Bombyx mori: one gene and its partner. The protein of the gene in region 1 interacts with the protein of each later gene in a pairwise test. Links are inferred from orthologs where the notes say so. Each region holds a gene or a part of one and is shown on either strand. Other genes may lie near its edges. The genes, in order: kinesin-like protein unc-104 and liprin-alpha-1.

Region 1 (3,831 bases):
GCGTCGGTCTCACCTTATCTGTCCGGCGAGCAGCGGGTTGATCGCGTACAGCCAGTCGTGCACCTCCTTGTCGCTTAACGTCTGAAGTAAGTAGCCGCGCTCCTTGCTCACCACACTACAATATATACGTAGGATGTACTTAACTTTTATATCTTTAGTTGTGTCAAGAAATAATTTAATGTGAAAAATTCATACTATATTATATTTTTTTTATTATCTATAAATTAATACGTGAAGCAAAAACTTTGTACACCTTTTTTACGAAAATTGTGCGGACGGAGGAGCATGAAATTTCACACACTTATAGAGAATATAGAGAAGTGCACAATGCTATTTTTTTTTATTATGCCTACAAAATATATTACATCAATAAAAAAACACATTACATTCCATGTATTTTACACACGCATACGCATATATACTCTTTTGTTTATTGTTAAAGTCTGTAGTCAAATTGAGTATAGATTAATATTGTTTGTTTGCCTTTAATATTATTTGACGAAATCTGTGATTATAGAAGTATCATGATTATAGAATATGTAGAAATTATAAGAAGCATGTTTTTGACAATATAACTATGAATGTAGTAATAATAGCAGTAGTGACTAGTAGTAAGTAGTAGTAACCAGAAGTAACAAGTAGTAATAATACTGTATCGGATGGTGTTATACCTGAAGGTGTTGGGCATGCGCACCATCTGCTCCTGGTCCTCGGAGTACTCGACGTGCGCGTTGGCGAGGTTGATGACGGCGCGCTCGATGGGGTCGCGCTCGTCGCGGTATATGAACACGTACGGCCTCCGGACCACCTGGACATCGCGAGCTCCGATCAGACCCACTCGTCTGGTGGCTGTACCGTCCGCATCCCCAGGACACGGACGGTACAGTGGATCGATCAAGCGCAAGCGCACTCAAGCACCCCAACCATTTCGGAATTTGAACAGAAAAGTGAGATCACACGGTACCATCTAAGCATTGCGTTTACAAATACAATTTCATCACCAGGTATATAAATACTTAACCCCATACCTTGTGAATATTCCACAGTGCAGGAATAGCATTGTGCAATACAATCAAACCTCCAAAAATTATAATTAGTGTAACTAGTGATAGTGATGGTAGAGCGAGTTGTGAGCCCGCACGGGTAGGTACCACCACCCTTCCTGTTTCTGCCGTGAAGCAGTAGTGCGTTTGGGTTTGTGCATAGGGTGGGCTTTGTAAACACTAAGACTTAGAGCTCATATTTAAGGTGAGGTCGGCATTGAAATGGTTGATGTCTATGGATGCCGGTTACCACTGCGCTTTGAGATTAAAGTGCATATCACAAACTGCGGGACTTTTTGGCGGGAACGCGAGGAGTGAAGTTGTGTGATTTGTTTTAATTTGTCTACTTAGTGTTTCTTCAGGTTTAAATGTGTAATAACGGTGAATTATTAACTGTTTAGTATCTGTGCAAGTGCACAAATGTGGGAAAATGAAACAAAGCCGCTGGACGTAACTTCTCGGGATCCTCCAAAAAGTCCACTGAAAAAATCTCAATAAATGACCACCATTTTACTAAGATTACATTTCATCCTATATCATCTCATCCCATCTGGTTTCATTTAATTTCATCTCAGTTGATTAATGTCTCATCTCATTTCAGTTCACACCATATTATCATTTTTCATAAAAATGAGAATATGAATTAAAATAAGGCATGACCTAAAGGTCTTAGTTACCAGGTCATAAAATTATAAAAAAAACTGTCGTACCAGCCAGCGTTTCTTCCAGCCGTGCGTGCCGTGCTGCAGCACGTTGAGGTGTCCGCGGCGCGCCACGGCGGCGGACACGCGCACCTCCTCGCAGTCGGGCACGTACAGCGCGCCGCCCGCCGCCCCCCACCCGCACGCCGCCTTCTCCAGCATCGCGCGCTCCGGGGAGCACAGCCTGCACAGTTACCGTTACCGTTACGTCATCACTGCGAGAGCCTGTACTTTGCAGACTAATTAGTGTGCACAGTGCGAGTTTTTTAACGTTCTCGATAGCGTTAAACTCAGATTTGTATGCAGCTACTACCCTAGCGGCAAACGTAGGCAAACTTTTGGGAGGATCTCGAGAAGCTATATCCAGAGGCTTTGTTTTATTTTCCCACATTTGTGCACTTTGACAGATACGAAATAGTTATTAAACCACCGTTATTACACATTTAAACCTGAAGAAACACTAAATAGACAAAATAAAATAAATGACACAATTTCGCTCCTCGCGTTCCCGCCAAAAAGTCTTCTTTCGAACTACGATTACCAAACGTTTTTTTTTTCTATTTTCCTATGCATCGGGGAAAGTTTCATTCTGCCAACTCTACCAACTTATTTAATTTGCTTTTTTTACAGCACTCACTCAAAGCTGCTAGCGCTGTGTATGGACGACAGGAGACTCGGAGTGGAGATGTCAGCGGAAACGCCCTCGTCCACGGGCGTGGCGGGAGACACTGCGGTCTCTACTTCCTTGCCCGTCGAACCTATTCTTCCTGAAATTATTACATTTGATTTTATTTTAAATTGGGAAACCAGTGGCTTCGACCCCTTCATGCCTTGATGACCACTTATGAATCGTAAGCTTGTCTACCTTCAGCAATAATGAGCTTTTAATCCGAATCAATTTTCTATTAAATAGGACGTCATCTTATCGGCAAACCGCCATTTTGAATTCTATATGCTATCATGCAACACAAGATATTTGACAGATGCCTGAATCTCGTTTACAACACATTCAAAGCTTGCATTTATACAAGTTCCGAACAACAACATTCGGACTGTCGGTCTACTGAGCAATTACACCCGTTCGGTGGAAGATTTTCCCTCTGTCGCTATACCTCCACACCACAGATTCAATAAATAATAGTTTAAAAATACTAAAAAAATACGCTCTTATAGAAAATTCAACTAAAAAATAGAAAACAAATTTTAATTAATTTCAATTAAATATAGTGTAAGTAAAATTTATTTTCAATTTTTTTAGTTGGATTTTCTATAAAAGCATATTTTTTTTTAAACTATTATTTATTTTTCATTTTTTAGTTGAATTTCAATTTTTACAATTTTTTATTATTTAAATATTGAATTGTCATCGGTCCTTAATAAGTATGCCAAACTTCGAGTTAATCCGACGTTTTGAAGGGCGTCAAAATCATGTTCAAAGATTTCGTTACATACTAACATACATACGTCTGAAGCTAATAAAAATCGAACGCGCACTCACCTTGCATGAGCTTAATGAATTTGGTGGCGAGCTCTCGTTCCTTGGGCGACATGTCCCAGGGCTCGTACACGGGCTCGTCGCGCCCGCCCTCGGCCGCCGCCTTCGCCGCCATGTTGCACACCTCCTGCGGCCAACGCACAACACTTGTTCAATGTTTTATCGACACAATTTGTGTTCATCGCCATCGCGTGTGTTCCGAGTAATAAGTAACTATACAGTGTATTCTCAAGAACACAAAGTACATTTATTTTGTCTATTTAATGTTTCTTCAGGTTTAAATGTAAACAATTGAGGGAAAATGAAACAAAGCCACTGAACGTAACTTCTCGGGATCCTCCAAAAAGTCCACTGAAAAAATCTCAGTAAAAGACCACCATTTTACTGAGATTATATTTCTATGTAATCATTCTGATTTTTTAGTAAATTTAATTCGTTTTTAATCATTTATATTATGTCGCGATTAGTTTCATTCGTTTATTATTATTCATAAAATTGTAAATAATTAAAACGGCGAATTATAAAAATCTTATTACTTGACGCTGGCTAATGCACAAACCGTGCCGGAGACAAAAACTAAAGAAGACGAAGA
Region 2 (3,931 bases), on another chromosome or scaffold:
ACTAGTACTAATTACTGCGTAATATTAAATAATTCATCTTAAATCATTTAGAGTACCGACTAAAATTTACTTATTGTTGTATTATTCCAACCTGGAAATTAAGTATTCAAGGCAATTTTAAAAAGTAGTTTTATGTGGATAAATTGTTATTAGCCGTTTCCATGATATTTAGTTTTTTTCATACCTATTTAACTTACTTAACGTACCTATTTAATTTATTTAATGGTAGGCAGCGGCTTGGCTCTGCCCCTGGCATTGCTGAAGTCCATTGGTGACGGTAACCACTCACCATCAGGTGGGCAGTATGCTCGTCTGTCTACAAGGACAATACCTACTAGTATAGAAATTGTCATATGTATTTTTTTTATTTGTATTTTTTAACTTGATATTAGACTAGTAAGTCTAATAAATCAAGGACGGTCTGAACTAATATCATTTGGCTCGTGGACTTGTGCATCTTTCAGTGAATGCAGATGCTTATGGAGCCAGGCAGGCTATGTGGGACTTGATGGTGTGCAGACGTTGGAAGTATACCGCGGGCCCGAGGATATTTTAGAGCTCTACTCATCAAATAATTCCCCTTGCATTTTCTCACTCGATGTTCGTTCTCTGCCCAGCGTTCAGAGCCCGGAAAGATTATAGGGTTCCTGCGTTCAACATTATAACCAGAATGGCAGGGCCAACTCGAGGAAGCTCGATCGATGGATGGTCAAGGCGATGGTCGAATAATCTACGTAGGCCATCTCGGTACGCCACCCTGTCAGGCCCCCCCAGGACCCAGGCGGTCCCAGTGGTGTCCCGGGATACCCTACTTGGTCTCCATACCGTCCCATTTAGATTAAGTTGAACATAGATGGAAGGATTTCGTCAAGATTTTGCTACTTTTCGCGTAAAGGGCTATGTGTTCGCATTTCATATTACACGAAACAATTCTAAGCCGCACCAAAACCTTAGATCAGTGGTTCCGCAAATGGCGCATAGAATTGAACCCCACGAAAAGCAAAGCCGTGTTATTTCAAAGAAGGAACTCGACGCAAAGTTCTTCTAATTTTGAAATTTTGAAGTTTTTTTAATTAATTAATTGAGTTAATTTTGATTCATAGATTTTTAGTCTTTTTAATGAATTTCAAAATAATTGAAGCTTTTTATACTTAGTTAAACTATACTTTTGAAACCGAGACTAGCGTCTTTTTACTACAAAGCTGTTGAGTGTATAAGTTTTATTCCCTTTGCCGATCTAATCGGAAAAGTCAAATAAAAAACTCCTTCATCTGAATTTGACGGATTGACGTTCCATTCCAAGATGGCCGACATGCCGCTTGTTCCATGATAGAACAGAATCGTAAGAATACGATATTTAGGTGTGTCTATTTAAATATCGAACTAGAATGTCTCCCGAACTTTTGATTAATATTTTATACGAATATTCCGAGTATGTGAAACCGCTTCCCCGCGTTACGTGCGCTAGATTTAGGTAACGTTTGTGCCGGAACATATGCACTAAAACTGATCGAAATCGTGTTTTCTGTGTGTCGTGTACCATAGGTCTTCTGGTTTAATGTTAAATTAAAATGTGGAATATGATGTGCGACGTGATGCCTACGATATCGGAGGACAGTATCAGCCAGCGGAGTTCGCAGGTCTCCGGGGAGGATGCGAACTTTGAGCAACTGATGGTGTCTATGTTAGACGAACGCGATAAGTTGGTTGAGAGTTTGCGAGAGACTCAGGAGCGGCTCGGTGACTCGGAACTGCGCCTCAAGGAAGTGGAAAAGGAGAGAGATGCCCTTCATAGACAGATCGCCGCCAACCTACCACAGGTTAGTGTCTCCTTCCTAACTTTAGAATGTCAATATGAGTTTCAGCTCCAAAATTTATATCTTGTTTTAATAAAATAGCAAAGAACCTATCTTAAAAAGGCTCAGTTCAAATAGCCCTTCACCTAAACATTGTACAACTCCATTTTCCAATATTTAAAATCATCAAGAGATTATAAGTAAGTTAAGAAAGTTAGTATCTAATTATAATTTTTGAAATATATTTCAAACAGGTTTTAGTTATTTATTCTAATTAAAATTAACACTGAATAACTTATCTACCAGAAAAAAAAAACTAAAACAGGATGGAAAATGTCAAATTTAATTTTGTTGTTTTCTTTAAAACATTTTTGTTCAATAACAATTTGAGTATCAAATCAACTTAATTACTTACTATATTTAGTGAATTAGAAATCTTAATAAATAAATAAAAATCGGAAAGTTTTTTTTTTATTTGCTATTTCATATAAAATCAGAACAACAAATCAGTACTTTATTACTGATACTTAGAAAACATGTTTCACTGTTTTGCAAAAATGGTACTTGAATGGTATTGTAGGGAACATCTAATACACTATAAGAGTATGAAATAGATGTAAAAAACTAAACAAAAAAATCATTTTATTCCCCATAAACAAGACAGAGTGAATTGATAAGCTATTTCGCTCTTCAAACCATTCATAATGCAAGAAAGCTTTATGCCCAAAATAGGTGGGAAAGTGTAATTTTTTATATTCCAGGAACGGTTCCTGTTATGGTTCCATTGAATTAATGTATGTGGCATGTTACTAGAAGTTGATCTTCTTCACAATGCAGTCACGGCAGGGTGTAATCAGGTTCTATTAGTTAAGATATAAAAAAATTAAACATCCTTCTTTGTGTACAATTAAACATAGTTTTGATAAAACTTTTCTACATTAAGCAAATCAAAGTGAAACAGAACCACTAGGTCAAGGATGAAGTTATAATCGTTGCTCATCCACTGGAACATTATGATCTGATATGTTACTTTACAAGAACATTAATGATATCTTAGAATTAAAAGATAAATATCCATGATTTAGCTTTATATTAAATTATCTTAACACACATTGTGACCTTGAGTTGTATAGTACTTTCACACTTATCAGTTGGAAGTCATCATATTATGCAATTAGGATCTTATTTTTAAAGTGAGTATTCACAGTACCTTAAGTCTTGGGTGAAAACTTATCTAGTGGGCTGTCCTTACAGAAACCATCAAATTATACCTGTAACACTGACATTTTCCAACTTTGAAAATTATCAATCACCATATTATATTAATTGCCCTATGTTATTTTCTACTTAAAACCCCTTTTGCTTAAAGAAAATCTGATGGTAGATTCAGCAGATGTTAGCAAAGTCACTCAAGCAGAGCTGTGTGGGCTTGTACACACACTTATAAATTACACTTGTATTTTTTTTTACTTATTGTACTTGTCAAGAAAAGGGAAGACTAGAGTGGTATACTAGAATGAATGTATTTTCCGCATGTTTAATTGGAATCATCTAATTGTCCTACTCCAGAAGTATCGGTCCTTATTGGCATTAGTAGTTTTTTTTGGATTTAACAAACATCTTAATTGTCGTGTCTTTACCAATTTGAGCTAAAAGACATTTATATGTATGCTTTAATTAGATCTTCACTTGACAGATCACAGACGCAGCCCTGTGATTTGCAACAAAAATGATTAAATTAACAATCTTAGAATATTCAGTTTACCACACCCTAGTTTTCGTTAAACAAAAATGTTATGTACTGGTGTGTGTTGCTAATTTCGCGCAGCGGATGATAAAACTGTTATCAGTAAGGACGTTCTCATACGAAATTAAGCTTATCAACGGTCTTGGTTGAAACATGCAATGTGCATTAAGGACAGAATCGCTCTGGCGCCTGGCGTGTATGGGTCGAGTGCTCTGGGGAATTGTTTGAAATGATCTTGTCATCTCCATTTCACCATCGGACCATGCGTCGTCGGAAAGTTCACCTCTGGTAATTAAATCCGTTGTACATTTGAGGAGAGACCCCACCGGCGTTTTTGTTATAATAAAATTGCGTTTGGCACGGGATGAGCGCTTCAGCTCGAACTGCC

What was found.
Region 2: the proteins of kinesin-like protein unc-104 (region 1) and liprin-alpha-1 interact in binary tests that used the Caenorhabditis elegans proteins (3 or more experiments, as listed by UniProt). The link is inferred for Bombyx mori from reciprocal best matches to the Caenorhabditis elegans genes unc-104 and syd-2.

Annotation. Positions count from the first base shown.
Region 1 is NC_085109.1:3,714,244-3,718,074, forward strand, and holds part of kinesin-like protein unc-104, read right to left. Parts: intron 3,367-3,831; coding exon 3,243-3,366; intron 2,512-3,242; coding exon 2,382-2,511; intron 1,929-2,381; coding exon 1,754-1,928; intron 809-1,753; coding exon 672-808; intron 116-671; coding exon 14-115; intron 1-13. UniProt on the Caenorhabditis elegans protein: Motor protein involved in microtubule-associated anterograde transport. Regulates the transport of synaptic vesicle precursors in the axon of DA motor neurons. Regulates the polarized sorting of axonal proteins.
Region 2 is NC_085129.1:15,096,445-15,100,375, forward strand, and holds the start of liprin-alpha-1, read left to right. Parts: upstream 1-1,283; 5' UTR 1,284-1,571; coding exon 1,572-1,820; intron 1,821-3,931. UniProt on the Caenorhabditis elegans protein: May play a role in regulating the structure of the neuronal region, called the active zone, from which synaptic vesicles send neurotransmitter signals across the synapse. This may be in association with the liprin-beta protein hlb-1.